Lonchura striata: one gene and its partner. The protein of the gene in region 1 purifies or fractionates together with the protein of each later gene. This does not show direct contact. Links are inferred from orthologs where the notes say so. Each region holds a gene or a part of one and is shown on either strand. Other genes may lie near its edges.

What was found.
Region 2: the proteins of MAP4K4 (region 1) and RAP2C purify together in Homo sapiens (affinity purification with mass spectrometry; 3 studies listed by BioGRID and IntAct, counting the BioPlex papers as one, with this or other methods). This does not show direct contact. The link is inferred for Lonchura striata from reciprocal best matches to the Homo sapiens genes MAP4K4 and RAP2C.

The regions. Positions count from the first base shown.
Region 1 is NC_134604.1:87,602,974-87,612,443, reverse strand, and holds the start of MAP4K4 (mitogen-activated protein kinase kinase kinase kinase 4), read right to left. Parts: upstream 4,091-9,470; 5' UTR 3,513-4,090; coding exon 3,456-3,512; intron 3,094-3,455; coding exon 3,028-3,093; intron 1-3,027.
Region 2 is NC_134616.1:7,565,303-7,574,261, reverse strand, and holds the start of RAP2C (ras-related protein Rap-2c), read right to left. Parts: upstream 3,845-8,959; 5' UTR 3,825-3,844; coding exon 3,552-3,824; intron 1,849-3,551; coding exon 1,570-1,848; 3' UTR 1,529-1,569; intron 1-1,528. UniProt on the Homo sapiens protein: Small GTP-binding protein which cycles between a GDP-bound inactive and a GTP-bound active form. May play a role in cytoskeletal rearrangements and regulate cell spreading through activation of the effector TNIK.

The DNA of each region.
Region 1 (9,470 bases):
TGAAGATGAAAATAATAAAAACTCTATAGATTTCAGAATCACAGAACTGTTTGGGTTGGAAGTGGTCTCAAAGATCATCTAGTTCCAACTCCTTTGTCACAGGCAGAAACACTTTACACTAGACCAGGCTGTACAAAGTCCCATCCAACCCAGCCTTGAACACTTGCAGGGATGGGGCATCCACAAGTTCTCTGGGCAACTTGTTCCTGTAGGCCACCAACCTCGCAGTTAAGGATTTCTTCCCAATACCTAATCTAAACCTACTCTCAGTTTAAAGCCATTATCCCAATTCCATCACAGCAATAGAAAACTTAGTATTTTTACCATCTCACCACTGAGGTCTCAGGCCCACAGTAACACTCCACATAAGCCAATGCATCAAATGCATAAAATGCAGAGTAACTCGACTTGCATTTAGGTGCCAAACATTCAAGGGCTACCCTCACATTTCATACATGTATAAACATCTACACACCTACATATAGCTAAATAAATAGCTAAGGTAGAACTAGCTACAGAAATATCACCAGCCAGATAGATGAGCTATTTCCAGCTAGCTCAGCTAAGGCAAAGGGGAGAAAAACAGGACTATTTTCTGCTTTTCAACAGGTTGGCGCACTCCCCTTCCCAGCGCTGCTGGAAAGCTGACTCCCCAGCCAGGCAAGCGACCTTCGGCATCATCGGCGGGTGTATGAGCTAGACAAAGAGATAACGTCATGGCCTCTGCGCTCCCTGCGTGTCCTCCCGCAGTGGCAGGTAGCCAGCCAATCCCGCTCCCGGGTGACATCATCGCTGATGCCTCTACACGAATGTGGAAGTACATCAAACTACATCTCGGAGCTCGGCTCCTCAAAAGCAACCTACACCCCACCCCCCAGCCCCTTGGGATGACAGACCGCTAACAAGGGAAATAAAACCATCCAGGAAGAGAGATTTCAAGAAGTGGTTGCTGGGTACAAGTAAAGCAGAAGGCAACAAGCAAACATGGCATAAACACGTTTTTCCCTTGGTTATGCAGTTCCCATGAAAGCCCTCAAAACATACACATACAGTCTCATCGTTGGGCATCCCTGGAGCATTTTTCCTAGCAAAAAAAGTGCCCAAGAAAAGGTTTGGGATTTTTGTTTTGTTTTGTTTTTTGCAACAACTTTTGCAACAACTGATTTTTAATTTTTTTTTTACATAATTTCATTACTTAAAAAAAAAAAATGCTTATCACAGAAAGAAAGTTTTTTTGTTTGGTATTATTTGTTTACATACAGCCCTGTTAGGTGTCCACATTATCAGTGTATGTACACAAATGTAGACAAATACCTAAGAAGAAGCAGTGCCAACCCAAACTTAAACACCTGTCAATCCATTACTGTCCAGCAGGTTCTATAGCAAGAAAAAAGGTTGCCTGTTGCTCCCCATTATCACAGTGACACTGATGACATCAGGTGTTCAACTCTTCCAAGACAATAAATGCATGTGCCCAGTTTCATTTCTAATACTAACTATTCTGGAAGAGCTCTACCTTACCTAAAGAAAACTAAGTTTAACATTTCTATTGTCAAGACTGTTAAACTAAGGAGAACTTTGCTCATTATTCAAAAGCATTAACAAGTACACTGAGAAACAATACACTAAATTGCAATAATTAACAGGAGAGTTTCAACTCACACATTCACACCCCATTATTTTTCTTTTTTTTTAATAAGGGTTCAGATGATGCAAGCTCTGGGAGCAAAGGATTACAGAAAAAAGTTGTGTCCTTTCAAATGGCATAAAAAAATTAAATAGTCGAGGTTGTGTCAAAGCTTTTACTTATCTTCCCCGTCTCCTGTGGCCCTTTGAGCCACATTCTTTTTCCCACCTTTGTACCAACAGCAGCAGTCTGGCTATTCCAGCTCAAGTCTTAAAAAGCAACTAATACACTGCACAGGCAGACCAATTCTCCATCAGGAAGGCTGAGGTTCACGCCCTCAAAACAAACTGACATGTGTTTCATTTGCAGAAGAGGCAGCAAAGCACTTTATTTACTGGAGCATTAGTTACCGGAGCTGCAAGCAGCAGTATCTTGCCATCAGGGAAACGCGGACCAATTACAGTCCCTTGTTTATAAGCAAAAAGAAAAACAACAACAACAACAAAAAAACAACCAAAAAACAAACAAGCAACTAAGCATCTTCATCTCTCCTTCTCTCTCCAAATGCATCTTGCATTTCTACAGTTTAAGGCTAGAGCCTTCAATCTTTAGCCAAGTATTAAGTCTGTGCAAATAATTAGTCCTCCTGGTAGCTAGCACTCACTGCAAAATCATGCAAGCTCAAGATTTGTTTGTTCCACTGACTGCACACTAAAGGGTAAAAAAAGAAAAAAAGAAAAAAGTAGGCTAGTTTCACACCCACATGGGCACTCTCTGATTTCTATTTTTTAAAGTCATACACTTGTCAAACAGGTTATTCTGGGAATTCTGATTTCCACAAAATAAACTTCTCTGCTTTGGTCACTTATTATTGTCACTCTGCACCCCTCATCTCTGCACAGCCCATCAGATGCACACACCCCCAACTCCAGAGCTTCAACACTCACAAGGAAACCGGGTGACAGTTTTAATTATGGCAAATGTCTTTGTCTAAAGTCACTGCAGCAGCAGCAACTTCTATAAGGATTTCCAGCAGCAAAGCTGAATAAGCCTGTGGACGTGTTTGTATAACCGAGCCAGACTCTGACAGCGTCCACTTGGTTTGGTCATTTCTCTGAAAGGAGCACAGAGAAGAATAAGGACAATAAAGGCGTATTTCATCATTACAGGATGGGTACTTGGGAGAGTAATTTGTACCCGTCTAAAAAAGCAGAAGCCAAGAGGCTGACAAACTTGACAAGGCCAGCAACAATGACAAGGGCAACACTTCTACCACCCCTCACTGTTCCGGTTGCCAGTGCGGGTGGCTCGCCTTCAGCCGTGTGCTCAGCCCGGCGCAGACACCGGGTACCCTCTGGAAGATCGGCAACAATAAAAGGAGAAGAAATTCTGACACAAACCTTGTAGACTTGCCCGTACGTGCCATTGCCAACCACTTCCACCAGTTCAAAAATCCCAGCGGGGTCCTAGGGGGAGGAAGGGGCAGAAGGGGCGGGGGAGGAAAGGGGAGAAGAGAAGTGGGGTTACATTTTTGTTCAGGCGATGGCTGCTGGCAGAGCCCAGCCAGCGAACCCGGCTGCTGGCGGCGTGCAGCTGTTGCGCCCTGTTTTTCCACGCACATGCCAATACATGCAAACAAAGGAAAAGCAGCCCAGGGCCGCGGTCCCCCGCCCGCCCCCGCGGGAGGGCTCCCCCCATGCGGCCGCGGCCCCCGCGCCCGGCACCGGCCCCGGGCCCGGCCGCTCCCACCCCACCGGCCGCGCAGCCCCGGCAAGGGGCGCGCCGACCCCGGGGGGCCCCCGCCCCGGCCCCCGGCACCGGCACTCACCCGCAGGGAGGAAAGGTCGATATCCACCAGACTTTTTGCAGGAGAATCGTTCGCCATTTTCCCGTCTCTTCTTTTTTTTTTTTTTTTTTCTTTAAATATTTTTTTCTTCTCTGTTAAATAATAGCGAGGCCGCTCCCCCCTCCCTGGAGGAGCTGTGAATTGCGCGGAGCTCCGCTCCTCTCCTCCCTTCCGCCCTTCTTCACTCCAGCCCCGCTGGGTTGAAACTCTTCAGCATTGGGAGGGGTTGGCGGGGGGGGGGATGATGGATAGATAGATGGATGGTGGGAGGAGGAGGGAAAGGGAGGTGAAGGAAGGGAAGGAAGAAGGAGAAGGGGTGCTGCGGTTTGTCCGTCCGTCCGTCTCCCCGCGCTGCAGTGCGGGGCTGGATCCCCCCGAGGATCCCGGCCGGCCGGTCGGTGGCTGGGCGGGTGAGTCGGTGGGTGCCCGCGCGTCCCCGGCGGCAGCGGGCTCACACCATGTCGCGGCGGCGGCGGCAGGAGCGGCGCCGGTGCCGGCAGCCTCTGGCAGCCTCACGATGCGCCCCGCTCCCTGGCATGGCACGGCACGGCTCGGCCCGGCCGGCGGCGCTCACGCCGGGAGCCGGCAGTGGCAGCCGCGGCCCCGCTCTCGCATGGGGGGGCGGCTCACGCCCAGCGCCGCGGCGGAGCCCCCGCCGCCTCCGAGCCCTCCCCGCGGCGCTGCCCTCGCATCAAACGGCGCCGGGCACCGGCGGGCAGCGGCTGCGCGTCCCGGCGGCGGCGGGGCAGGGGCGCGGGGCTGGAGCGGGGTGCTGCGAGCCAGACAAAGATAGCCGGGGAGGAGGAGGAGGAGGAGGAGAAGGAGGAGGAGAAAAAATATACTGCGAGCGGAGAGAGAGAGAGAGAAGAGAACAGCTCCCCCTTCCCTTCTCCAACAGGAAAAACCGGCGGAAACGCGCCCGCACCAGAGCACTGCTGGGTAAACTCGCGGGGAGAGAGAAAGAGAGAGGGAGGGAGCCAGCGGGCGGGGAGGGAACCGGCCGCGCAGCCTGCCCGCCCCGCCGCCCACAATAGCCCCGCGGGGCGGGGGCGACCCCGGGCGGCCCTTCCCCGCCGCACCGGCGCTGGGCCCCGCCCGCGGGAGCCCCACGCGTGCCCGGGCCCGGGGCAAGGACGGAGCCCTGCAGCCCCCGCCGCGCCTCTGCGGGACAGCGCGCTCCGTGGGGGCCTGTCACGGCTCGTATGCACCGTGTGGTGGGGATATTTTCCCATCCCCGGTGAGATGACCAGCAAAATGTCACAGTTCCCCCCTGCCTCGAGATCCCAGGCCCACAGGAAAAAAAACATTATGTCTCATGAAGAGATTTCTACAGAAAGACGGCCAAATCCTGGCCCACAGAACCAGACCCATCTCTCATATTTTAACACATCGTTTACTGACAGAGCTGTCTCAGGCCCCCTTCCCGCCCAGAAGAATCCTCTAGCAGAATTTGAATCGTGGAAAAATCTCATTAACCTCACTTGAGCAAGACACATCAGGCAGTTTGACACAAGTGTAAACCTTGGCAGGATTTGTTTCTCATTGAAGTTTTTTATCACACTGATATGGCAAAAGTGTTACCTGCTTGCAAGAGGTCGAGTTTCCTGTGGGAATCGGGGTTTTCCTGTCTTCTAATTTAACCACAAAATTACATATACATAGCTATAAGTATTACAGAAACATACTTTTGAAACAAAGCAAACCTGTTGAGCAGAAAGTTTAAGGATAAATTACCATAACAGTTTAATGGCATACTTCATTTTCACTTTAAGTGTAGATACAAAGAAAGGAAACTTCAGCCTAGACCAGGAAACTTCATTCTCTGTACAGGAACCTATAGTTAGGAAAAGGCAAGTAATTTCAAATGTATTTGATGCTGTGTCTGCCCAAGTGCATGCACAGGAGTAAGATCAAGTCTAGAGATGCAGTAGGTTTTGAAAAGTGTATTTCTACAAAGATTTATTATCATTGGTCTGGTTTGCATTACATGGTAACTCAGCCTTTTTATGTGTAAGGGAAACCTTGGTAGGTCAGATCCATTTCCTGTCTGTCCCAGCATCCATCTCCAGATTTAGCCAGTAGTAGACACTGAGAGAAGATCACAGGGATACTTTAACCATCCAGTAATACTTCCCTGGCTTATTTTACCAACTCTCTACAGCTCAAGGAGCTCTTTAGCAGCATTTGGTGTCCCTGCATTTTGTTTTTTTTAATTGTGTTTTCCTTCCATTAGATTGGCTGTTTACTTTCTGGATTCATACATGCTTGTGGCTCTCGCAGTGTCCTTTGGCAGGGAGTTCCAAAGGTGAGCTAACATGTTGTGTGGAGAGCACCTTTTGCTAAACTAAAAAAAAAATATCCTGCTGGTTCTTGTTTTGGAAGAGACACCAATCGTTTCCTATTCATTTTCTTTATTATGTTCATTTTTTAGACTTCTGGTGTGTTTTCCCCTTGGTTTTTGCCAGCTAGTAAGTTCTGGTCTTTTTAGTGATACCACAAATGGAACTCATTCTATATTTGTCCTTCATTGAACCATTTCTAATACCTTCCTTTTTGACATGGGTAAACAGATTTCCATCTCATGTTCATGCTGGCTTCCCCGTGCAGCATCATTGTGATGTCCTCGTTTCTAATCCGCTCCTGATCCTTCCCTTCTTCACTGTTGGGTATGAATATGACATTCCTGTGGCACATGCCTATTATAACTCCAGGATCCCCTTCTGTAATGTTAATACCACCTCAGAGACTGTTGTTGTGCATTTCTGAATGCTGAAAGATTTTCAGGCCCAAATTCTGAATTCTGAGTTTTCCAAACCCAGGACGTAACAACTTCCTTGTGCCTCTGAAAAGTACAGGCCAGGATTTTAGAGATGAGGATCTGAGCCCATATACACATTTTCACCATTCATATTTTCACCAACAGATGTCATTTCACCAGACCTCTGATGTGGCTCCACCACAGTGTTCCCTCTCTGCTTTAAGTTTTTATTTTATTAGAGTGAGTTCAGTTCTTTGGCATGTTTTTGTATTACACTAAAGACTGCTAAAGTGCTAGCAACAAGATTGTGAATTCTTGAAAAGTAAGCCATCCTCTATCTTTAGGGGAAAAAATAGTTTTCATAAAGCAGTAAATGCTTTATGAAGAGAGCTTCCTGCTAGTTCCCAGAGTGAAGCACCACGATGCCTCAGCTTCCTTTTTCTTCTACTCAAGTGAAGGGATGAAAAGCTTGCTTTTTTGAGGAAGAAGCCTCTTCAGCTGTGGCCAAAACCACTCTCTTCACATGTTCATCATGCTCTTCACCAGCTCAGTGTACATAACCAGTTTGAAAGTCCAAAGGTTGAAAGACCAAACCTAAAACCACTGGAAAGAAGAAGAGCAATCTGTTTTAACTCTTCCTCATAGTGAAACCAGCAATGCTGAAGTGAGACAGAGTGAGACAGCCATCAAAAATCATAACGAAGACTAAATGCAAGGAAATGCATTTTCAACCCTGTGGATCGTCTCCCCACAGAGCACACATGGTTTTTCTAATGACAAACTTCAGAAGATTTATCAAAATATCTGAGTCCACTGGGGAGCAAAGCAGGAGAAAGCTGGGACCTGTGTGCTGCTTTCCATCACCCTCAGACACAGTTGCACCCATTCCTGCTCAAAGTGCTCATAGCAGTGAAGGGAACAGAGGAGTTGAAGCTCCCTGAGCAGTTTCAGTATCCCTGAAAGAGGGGTCCTGAGCTTCCCTTTCTCTGACCATTTATTCCTATTGAATGGTACCCTTGTGTGGATATGAGCATTCCTACAGCTACATAGTGAGCCAGGACTCATAGCAAAGCTAACCCACAAAAGGAAAATAACTTCTAATGTTATTATTGATCAATTCCTTGGGCTGGTTCATCACGTGTCTCCTTGAGCTGATGTGTTAACAAAAGGGAAACCGAGGGGTCAGAAACTAAGTGGAGGGCAGGAACTGTGACCACAGCATTGCCTCTTGGTTGCGGCTGTGGCTTAAGCCAATTTCAACTCTCAGTGGACCCATAGGGGTAAAACTAGAGAAACTTCCTTCCTTACTGGAAGAGACACTGTGGGAGTGATGGGAACTCAACATTTATGTTGTAGCCACAAAAGAAATTCCTTGCCCTCTATTTTTTTTCAAGTTATTTGAAATTGTCTTTGTTCTATAATTTTCCACTTCTAATATGCCAGGGCTCTAATCACTGACCAGAGATGCAGAGGTCATCAACTGCACTAACTTTTTATGAGCTTAATCATCAACAGTATTCAAGAAGATGAGTAAAGAGACAGGAAGTTCTGAATTTTCATTTTGTTCTACTACTGATTCATCCTATAGCCTTGGGGCATCTCATTTCCTGCTTCCACTCTCGTTCTCTATGTGGAAAATGGGAGTGATTTTGACCTCCTTTATAGTGTGAAGTATTAGACATGTACCCTGTCATACTCTGGGGAAATTGTTCTCTCCTTGGCTGAAACAATCCCTGAGGGAGGCTCAAGCTAGGGTGATAAGTAACAGAGGACAGGGTAGTGAGTGGGGCTGAGTCAGGCTTTGCATAGTCCAGCTCTCCTGCTGCACATGGAGCAGAAGGAGGCTGGGAGACTTTTCCTCATGCTATTTATTGCAACACATACTGGGAGTAGATCAGTTACAAAAGGATGCCATACAATCAGCCTCCCTCTAGCTTAGGCTCCTCTCCTCCTCTGCTGTTTCCACCACCCCTATCTCACACCTCCATGTGAAAGCTGCTCTGTGTGATCTCTGCAGGCACACCCAGGTTTTCTCATGCTGCATCTTTACAATGTCATATGGGGTGGACATGTTCCTGCAGCTCTGATTGCCCAGTTGCGCACACACTGCTGCTGGTGACATCCTGCTGCTTCCCGCTCCTCAGGATGCTGCACTGCCTCCCACACTGATGGGTTTCCCTCATTCCAGCATGCAGGAATCAGGCTCAGGCACATAGCCGGGCCCAAGCTTGGGGATGCACATGTAGATGATGATGTAGGTGACATGAAGATGCACAGGGCCAGAAAGGAGCAGCTTTCCACCAGCTGTACTCTTTGAGGCCATCACTGCCCACACCCTGGCTGGCTTCCTCTGTTAGCATTTTGGGGACTGGATTGAAAGGACTCCTGAAATACAGGGGATGTCTAAATATAGCAATCCTGCTAGTGCAGGAAGAGTGGCAAAGTGAGTCAGAGCCTTTCCACAGCTGCTCGGTACCATGCAGGGAGGCACAGTGCAGTCAGCACTGTCAGCACTTTGGAGGTGCCCACCTTTCTCCATCCCCTGCCAGGCTTCACATCTGTGCTGTTTTTTCAGCTGTGCTGGTATGGCTTCTCTGTATTGTGGTTTGGTAGCTAGACTGATCTTAGCAAAAAGGAATACACCATTTTTATTTTTTTGCAAGTTTTGCTTTACCTCCCATTAATGCCCTGCTTTAAATGAGTGGTAGGCAATTTGGTGAGAGTGAGAATTTCTCACGTTGTTATTGCATAGAGATCTAGGTACCACAAAACCATGTCCTGAAAATAATTTTGGGAAGAATTACCTCAAATGGCACTGCAGAATAGCCTAAGGGGAAAAGTTAATCTTAGTCCTATAATAATTAATATCACACTTGTGCAGTAGTGGAGCACCCAGCATTTTTTATTTAATCCAGATTACAAATGAGCATATGCAAATTTTCATATGAAAATAACATAATACAATTTTTATGCCATTTGTTTATGCTGGTTGTGATGAAGTAAGATGGTACCTGGTCCATTTAAAGTCATAGGCCATGAGAAGCAGATGGCTGAAATGGTATGAAGTTTGCTGGGACAACATGCTTCCAGAGAAATCTGAACAAATCTAAACCAGCAGAGTGAAGTTCAGAAATTTGCATCACCTAGCTGGGGTATTTTGAATCTGACTCTGAACATGCTCACATAGGATTTGCATCCATGGAGCCATAGTCTCTGTGAGGAGACTGCTTCTGCACAGA
Region 2 (8,959 bases), on another chromosome or scaffold:
CCTGCAGCACTCATTTTTTTTTTAAGTATTAATTTCTTAGATTCATTTTTTCCTAGAACTCCATAGAATCTGCAGGTGTGATTAATGTACAATGATGTTCCCACACAATGAGAGACTTTATTTGAATTTTCCTGTGCTCCAAAACAAGCTCACCTTTCAACAAGCAAATCTCAAACTTACACACACCTCTTACACAGTGACAGCAGCCCTTCCTAATTTCACAGAACTGGAGATAAAAACATCATGTATTATCTGTAGCATGACAGTGCTAGAGCCATGAGCACCTAAAACTTGATATTTACAAAGCACCTGATAACAATCTCAAAGAGAAGCTTTGAGACTTCACTCTGACCTTGCACTCCAGATTAAAGAGGATACATGGTCCAAAGCTTCCAGTAATAACCTATTTTCCCTGTTGTCACTCAGGCACAAAAAGCTCCTTTGAGTTAAGCAAGTTACTAATGTGGCAGTGGGAGTCTGAGCCTGCAGCAGTGCAGCTGTCAGGAGGGGCAGTTCCTTCCCCTGAGTTTCCACATCATCCCTCATTCCTGCACTTGCTCTCGGAGTTGTTTGCAAAGGTCCAACAGACAACTGGAGGTCTGAGGGAGCAGCTGGCTCCACACAGAGCACACCAACCCTGCTTTGCAGTCACATGGATTCGAGCCAGAGGTGAAACAAGACCTGCAACAGCTACAGGGGAAACAGGAGTGGGAATGCACATTGGGGAGGGACAGACCTATGCACACAGGTGATGAAAAAAAGACCACACATGTGAAAGGCCAAAGGCAGCTGTCCTGGAGGGGAAAAAAATAAAAATCAAAGCAACACCTGACACAGGGGAAACTTTACAGAGGGCCCTCTGAACGCTGGACTCTCATCACACCTCTTTTGAGTCACTGGAAAAGGAGAGCTGTGCATGGGAAGCCATTTTACAGTGTGTTCTCTGCTCTGGAGATTTGAGATGAAGAACACTTTGTGCATGCCCTTGACTGTTGCATGTGGGCTTTGAGCCACTTCTCACCACTCAGGGTGGTTCTCTTGCAAAAGAAACTTATTCCACTGATAAGGCAGAAGGGTACTATCAGTTTCTGTGCTACAGAACTTTATATCTTTTAAACAAGCTCAAAGTCTTCTCAGTAAAACTACTGGGAAACTTGGTCACAATAATCCCATTGAACTCCAAGGTAACTCCCATTACTGGAAAATAACTGAGATACCAGCTACAAGAATAAACCCACTGCAACATCACAAAGCACTTATGCAGAATAACACAGCATCAAATACAGCACTGACAGTCAAAATAGGTGCAGATGAGATCACTCATTTTGTGTCATTGTAAAATTACTGCAAGCAAATGCAGCTTTCCCTGACTAACCCTACTGAGGTAACGCAAGAAGTCCATTTGACTCAATCATGTGCACAATCTCCCATCTTTTGGAGGGAGGCTGCCTCATTTTACACTCCCTGTCCCTTTATCTCTTACTGAAACACCATGTTTAGGCACCTCAGTTAGTTATGTTCCACCAACCTGCTCTGTATGGCCATGGTTGAGGTTTTTCTTAATATCTCTCACTGGACGATGCAAGTTGTACAACACTGATCTTGCTTTTCAGGCAGGGAGGCATAGTTCATTTGCCTGACGATCTCAGCAAACAGTTCATCCACCATTGTTTTGCTCTTGGCTGACGTCTCCATGAAGGGACAGCCCCACTCCTGAGCCAGGGCTCTGCCTTCTGCAGATAGGACTTCCCTCTCCGACTCCAGATCCACTTTATTCCCCACCAGGATCAGAGGAACTTTCTCGTATCTCTTCACCCGGACAATCTGGTCCCTCATCGGCTTGATATCCTGGTCAAACAATCCAGCTGGTTAGTGCATGCAAGGAATCACATGGAATTGCTACAGAACCACTGTAGGAACACATTTTAGTAACCCTCACGTGCAACTGGACATTAAAAATACACCAGAAGACTTTTTAAACTCACAGTCACGCAGATCTAGAATTCTGAGAAAATTTAACACCTATCACTAAACTACTTCTTCTTTCATATAAAAGCATGCACACTTTAAAGAATTTATGTGCATAAACCAACAGAAAGTGACTGCTGTGCTCTCAGCCAGAGGAGGACACGGTACTGCTGCTCTGAAGGCTGGTTTCACCTTTCTGAAGAAGTTGTCTCAAGTCTAACGACCTGTAACCCTAGCAGGGGCGTGCCATTACACAACCATTTAGGAAGTTTGTGCTTAGTTTACAGCTTGAGAAAACCATCAATTTAAATAAAGCCTTCTCAGTCCTGGAATGCTTAGAATAATTCATTGTGAACACATTTAATCACATGTAAGTAACCAAATTAGATGCTGTAAAGAGATTTTATTACCTAGAGATGCATTTATTCAAGTCTGAGCCGACACGGGGCGTTTACACTTGAAAGTCTGAGTCAGCCTCCTCTGCCCCCTGAGTGTTTTAAGTTGCTATCGGTACTACAAATTCTTGCATAGTTCTGAGACAAAGCAATCCCAGCGTTTGAAGTTACCACCGTGCAAAGAACTGCAGAGAGGTTTACACCTACAGCCTTCAGAGCAAACACTACAGACAGACGGGAATAATTAAATATTAACAAGATTACTGCACATGCATTTCTCAAATAATGAGGGCTCGCTGGAACCCAAAAATCAGTGAAAATGAGAGCAGAAGCATCCCAATGTCAGTGCTGTTGTTTTCTAGAGATAAGCGTGTCTTCAGCTCGCACAGGGTTGTTTCGAGGCCTCTGCTGAGATAAGGTTTAGCCTTCAGCAGAAGCAAACAGTGGGGGTGTGGAAGGTCTTGCCAAGCAGCTGGAACACACCCAGCTCAGCAGCCCAAGCCAAGGCAGGAGCTGCAAATTCCCAAGCTGCACGGAGTGCTGCTAAACTCACTTACTGCCCAAAAACAAAGCCCCGTTTCTACAGGCAGCTTAGACCAATTACTGGCTGAGACAGTTCCTTTTTTTGGAGAGTTTTAATAGTAGAAATCAAATCCAGAACCACAAATTACCGTGTATAGCTAGTTCTGCTCTCCAGTACTCCACCTACGCTGGGAGAGCATCGAGCTCGTGCTGGACAGGAATATATTTTGGGGGCAGGGAGCGGAAAATAGCAGCTCACTTAACAAGTCACAACTGTAGAACAATGAGACTCTCTTCAGGAGCAACTGCAGAAACATGCCTTTTAGGAAGGAGAGGGGGTTGGAAGGGGAAGTCTCAGTTTTAATATCGAGTGATTTCTTCACAAAAGGGGATTGCCAAGAGATTTCTGTTGGGGAAGTGGGAGCTAGGCATTGTTCTCCAGCACTGCGTGGGACTTAACAATGGTGGCACCCTGATAAGTACCTGCAAAGCAAGCAGTTTTCCACCGGGAAGCAGGGCTGGTAAACGCGCTTTCAAGCTGGGCATTTACACTTTCGGCCCTTGGGAGATAAAGCGCTGCCACGCACACGTGGCTACCCCTAAAACTTCCTGCTCGGCCCGGGCAGGGCCGGCTCCGTGCGAGGAGGGGACGCCGGGCTCGGTTACCTGGAAGGACTGCTGGTTGACCAGGCTGTAGACGAGGATGAATCCCTGCCCGTTCTTGATGTAGAGGTCGCGCATGGAGGCGAACTGCTCGGTGCCCGCCGTGTCCAGGATCTCCAGCACCGAGGGCGACGAGTCCACCTCGATCTCCTTGCGGTAGAAGTCCTCGATGGTGGGGTCGTACTTCTCGATGAAGGTCCCGGTGACGAACTGCACCGTCAGGGCGGACTTCCCCACCCCCCCGCTGCCCAGCACCACCACCTTGTACTCCCGCATCGGGCCCCGCTGGCCGCTCCGCGCCGGGCCCGGCCTAGGGCAGGCGGCACCGCGGCCCTCGCATAGCCCCGGCCCGCCTCCCGTGAAGGGCGAGGCCCCGCTGCTCCCGCGCCGTCCCGGGGGCAGCCAGACCCCGTCAGCGCCCGGCGCGGCCCCGGCCCCGCTCGCTGCCTCAGCGCCGCGCTCCCGCCATCGCCGCGGGACCCGCCCGCCCGGAAGGGTTTCGCTGGGACACCGGAGGCCGCCCCGCCCCGCCGCCTGCGCTCACTTCCGGCGTGCTGCGTCACGGCCCGCCCGGACTGCGCCGGGGGACAGGTTTGAGTGTGGCACCGAGGCACCCGCGCTGTGCCGGGGGACAGGTTTGCGTGTGGCACCGAGGCAATGTGCTGTGCTGGGGACAGGTTTGGGTGTGGCACCGAGGCAATGTGCTGTGCTGGGGACAGGTTTGGGTGCAACACCGAGGCAGTGTGCTGTGCTGGGGGACAGGTTTGGGTGTGGCATCGAGGCACCCGCGCTGTGCCGGGGGACAGGTTTGACTGTAGCACCGAGGCACTGTGCTGTGCGGGGGGACAGGTTTGGGTGTGGCACCGTTGTGCAGGGGGACAGTTTTGGATATGGCACCGAGGCACTGTGCTGTGCAGGGGGACAGGTTTGGGTGTGGCACCGGGGCGCTGTCCCTGCCCGCCCCCAAGATGGCGGCGCCAAGATGGCGGCCGCCGTCCCGAACCTGAAGGGCGGCTCTGGGAGCGCCGCGTTGTCCCTCCACGAGCTCCTGCTCGGTACTCGATAACTTGAACAAACTCCTTAACAAACTCCTCTCAGCTTCCCGCGGGGGAGGGGACCCGGGCTGTGGCACCGGCACCGCGGTTCTTCATCCCTGGCAGCCCGCTGGGCTGGTGACAAGAGGGCCACCAAGTCACCAGAGGGATGGAGCTCCTCTGATATGAGGAAAGGTTGGGACTGGGATTGTTCAGCCTGGAGATGAGAAAGCTGCGCGGTGACCTAATTGCCCCTGCCAGTGCCTGAAGGGAATTTACAGGAAAGACAGAGAGGGATGTTTACATGTTCACAAATACATGTCGCGACAGAAAAGGGGGAATGGGTTCAGACTGAGAGAGTGCAAGTTCAGATCAGCTATTGGGAATAAAATCGTCCCTGTCGGGCGGTGCGGCCCTCGCACAGGCTGCCCAGAGGAGCCGCCCCAAGTCCTGCAGTGTCCGAGGCCGGGGTGACACGAGATCCCCTTTAAATCCTTCCCAGCCCAAAGCATTCCTGACTCTGCAGGCTGCTGCCTCCAGGTCACAGCTAGAGGTACGCAAGGTCAGGCAAGATCTGCCCCGTGTCCTTGCACTGGTGCAGCTGGCACAGGGCTCACTGCCCGGCTCTGAAACCCCCAGGGAGGAGCGGCGGAGCTCCCGGCCGGGCTGGGCTCAGGGCAGGGGTCAGTAGTGACAGCAGGGGACAGCAGGTGACAGCAGGGGACAGCAGGGTCAGCAGGGGTCAGCAGGTGACAGCAGATGACACCAGGGGTCAGCAGGTGACAGCAGGTGACAGCAGGGGACAGCAGGGGACAGCAGGGGTCAGCAGGGGTCAGCAGGTGACAGCAGGGTCAGCAGGGACACCAGGGGTCAGCAGGTGACACCAGGGGTCAGCAGGTGACAGCAGGGGACAGCAGGTGACAGCAGGGTCAGCAGGTGACAGCAGGGTCAGCAGGGGACAGCAGGTGACAGCAGGGTCAGCAGGTGACAGCAGATGACACCAGGGGTCAGCAGGTGACAGCAGGGTCAGCAGGTGACAGCAGGGTCAGCAGGGTCAGCAGGTGACAGCAGGGTCAGCAGGGGTCAGCAGGTGACAGCAGGGTCAGCAGGTGACAGCAGGGGTCAGCAGGTGACAGTAGGGTCAGCAGGGACAGCACGGCACCAGCGCCACCTGCCCTGGAACTCCCCTTGGCAGGAGGAACCGACTGAAGGAATCCCCGTCTGTTTTCTCCCTAAAATAAACCCCCCCAGTCACTCCAGACCCACGCGATGATTCCCACCTGTAGGAGCAGCTGCCCTCCAGTACAAACACGTTTGTTCTGCTGCTCCCTGCAGGATTTCAGCAGGCACGTGGTGAAGTGCTGGATTTGTTCCTTTCCCCTTTGCATCACCTGTGTGATTGCCAGTCCAGGGCACACACAGCTGCTGCGTTGTGTCCATCCTGGGTTTCCAGCAGCCATAGAGAGGTGCCTGGTCAAGGCGGCTAAAACCATCCAAAGGTACTGAGGAGGTGACTCTGCTTGTGGCTGTTTTCACAAACAGCTTTATTTTGTTCACTTGCTTTCCATAAAGACAACAGGTCCATTATGGGAAAAGGTCAATGAGGATGAGGACTTTTATCCTCCAGAACAAATCTTACTTATGTTACACCAAATTTGACTCACTCTTCTTTATCAAATATAAGTAAAAAGCCCTTGCCTTCCTTCACCGTTGCCTCCAGAATTGTGTTGTCAAGTGAATTGCTGGCAGGAGGCAGACGTGCCTGGCTGGAAGATTTTCATGTGGCTGGTGAATCAGCTCGAAAATGTAAAAAGGTGAGCATTAAAACAGGCTGCCTCCTACTTTAACCCCATTAGAAATCACGAGTTGTTGCGAAGTACCTTAATGCACTCAGGGTGCTCGGGACAAAGGAAAGCCGCAGTGCTCCCAGAGGAGCTTCCCATCTAATTTTAACCATGACACAATCGGTGACAGTGACAAACGGGGGGGAGGGAGCAAAGGAGCAAGGGAGGGTGAGGGTGACAATAATAGGATTACACGGTCACTTAGGTTCATTATGTGCACGTCTTTGTGGCACTGCTGGTCCATTATGTTTGTGATGGGTGGAGGAATGACTGCGGGAGAGGAAGGGGCAAAGAGCACAGCGGGAGAAAAGCCAAATATATTTTTGTGCAATTGACTTTAGCCAGCAACGCCTCGCTCTTGGGCTGAGGGGAAGAACAAGCAGGTGGACACAGGATTGGGAAAATGGATTTTTTTTCCCTCCTCCGTAAATCAATCCCAGTATTGATTTGGATTGCCAAGATTTATTTCCCAGCTCACAGCACTTTATACCTGGGCATAGATGCCTACAGCTGAAAAAAGGGCCAATCCCAAAGTGCACCAGGCTGTTTGTTACCGTTAAGACAAGTCATTCCCTTCATTAAACAGTTTGCACAGCTCTTTCACCGCCTTGTGCCCTACCACATATCCTGAGCCACAAAAATAGCTGGTGATGTAAAAGGTTTTGAAAGTCTGGATGGGAAGAGCTGCTTCTGCCATAAATGGCCAAGCCCTGAGCCAGCCGTGCAGGGCACCTCCTGCCAGTGCCACCTCTGCCACTCCCTCACTATCACCATCCCCTCCCCGGAGGTGCGGCACATCCCGGGTCAAAGGCCTGATTTAATCTCTGCTGTCACTTTCCCCACGGCTCCTGCCAAGAAGAAAGGAGCAGGGCTCAGCCCTCGGTGCTGCCCCAGGAGGGTTTGCCCTTTCTCAGCAAAACAACCTTCCCAAATGAACATCCGGGCAGGATTCGATTGCTGCCAGAGCAGCTCTGTGCTGTTGATGGACTCAGCTGCTCTATGCTGTGCCCGCAGCCAGCAACAATAAAGCAGGCTCTTATTAAATTAACCTGCTAAGACACAGATCCTGCAGGGATGTTCAGGGAACAGACAGATGGCACAAGCAAGGGCCAGGAATAATTGCAATCCCCATCTCACCAATGGGAGAGATGAATCCTGCCCGGTGCTGTGCCCAACAGGGAGGTGGGACTGGGAGCAGTCACCCCAAGAGGTGACAAAAGAGCCTCTCCAAGCCATGGATGGAGTGAGGAGTCTGGAACGTGTCCTGTGGATGCCAGGGTGGGCCTGCACCACCCCCAGCAGCCAAAGCCTCCCCACTGCAGCCACAGTGTGGGTGCTGTACAGCCACCACCTCCTGTGGGCTGTCCCCGCTGCCATCATCGATCTGCTCTGACTCCCTACGTCTGCCCGAGCTACAAAGCAGGCTCTGCCCTGCCAGGAAGGCTGCAGCAGCTGCTGAGCCAGGGCAGCAGGGATAGCCCAGATTTCACCTCAGTTGCCATCTAGCTGGGGACGTCATTTGTGTAAATACATGCAAAACCAGCTTAAGACCCAGCGTCCTTTCTTCTTTGCCTCTTCCAGAGGTTTTGCTAATCCACTTATTGTGCCTTATGGTGTTCAGCGTGGAAGCTGCAGGGCAGGGACATTCCTCAGGGCTGGAATGGCTACTGGAGCACCGGGGGCTGCTCTCACATGCAGCTCATTCAAGGAGGTCGTCGTGTTACACCAGTCACGGAACTGCAATGACAGCTTTTGATCTAAGCCCTGTCAAATTCCAGTGAAATATGTCTTAGGGGTTGGATGTGTCCACCTGGCCCAGACTCCTCATTCTGGGGCTGTTTCAGAACCTGCAGAGATGCTATTCTTTTTTGCCAGCTTTTCCTGCCAATATAGAGATGACTCAGAGGCAAATCCTGAGGACCTTTCTCAGAAATTTCTGATTTTCTGCCATCCCTCAGCTTTTAGCCATTACTTTAGTCGCAACAAAAGGCATGATGGTACTTCAAAAGAAGTAAAGGACATTTTCCAAAGCACTTACTAATTCTGAAACAGAAGTGGGACTGCACTGAAATATAATTGATACACCAAGAAGATTGTTGGGATTTCTGGGAGAAGCATCTCTCTTTGGCTCACAGACGTGGTACCAGATCACCAGCCATTTAGAAGAGCTTGGAGCCGAACAGCACCACAGGGGAAGATGCTGTCGCTACCCCCAGGCACACGCAGTGGCTGCAGCCCCTCCCCTCCCCACCTGCCCTCTCTCCTGGTTATCCCCGCGATGCTGCCTCTCCTGCCGGCAGGATCAGCTCCGGCCGTGATGAGTCACTGCTCCGTGTGAGCAAGCCACCAGTGGTGAAGGCAGAAATGTGGTTTCACGGGTCATTCCTCTTCCTATTTTCTCCAGACATCGAGCTCTCTCCTCGCTGCCCTTCACAGTCCAAGCCATAATCCTTTCTGCTCTGCGGGGCTCGCACCGAGCTGCAGCTCCGTGGCTCTCCGGGACTGGCCTGTCCTGCACACACCCGGCGTGGTG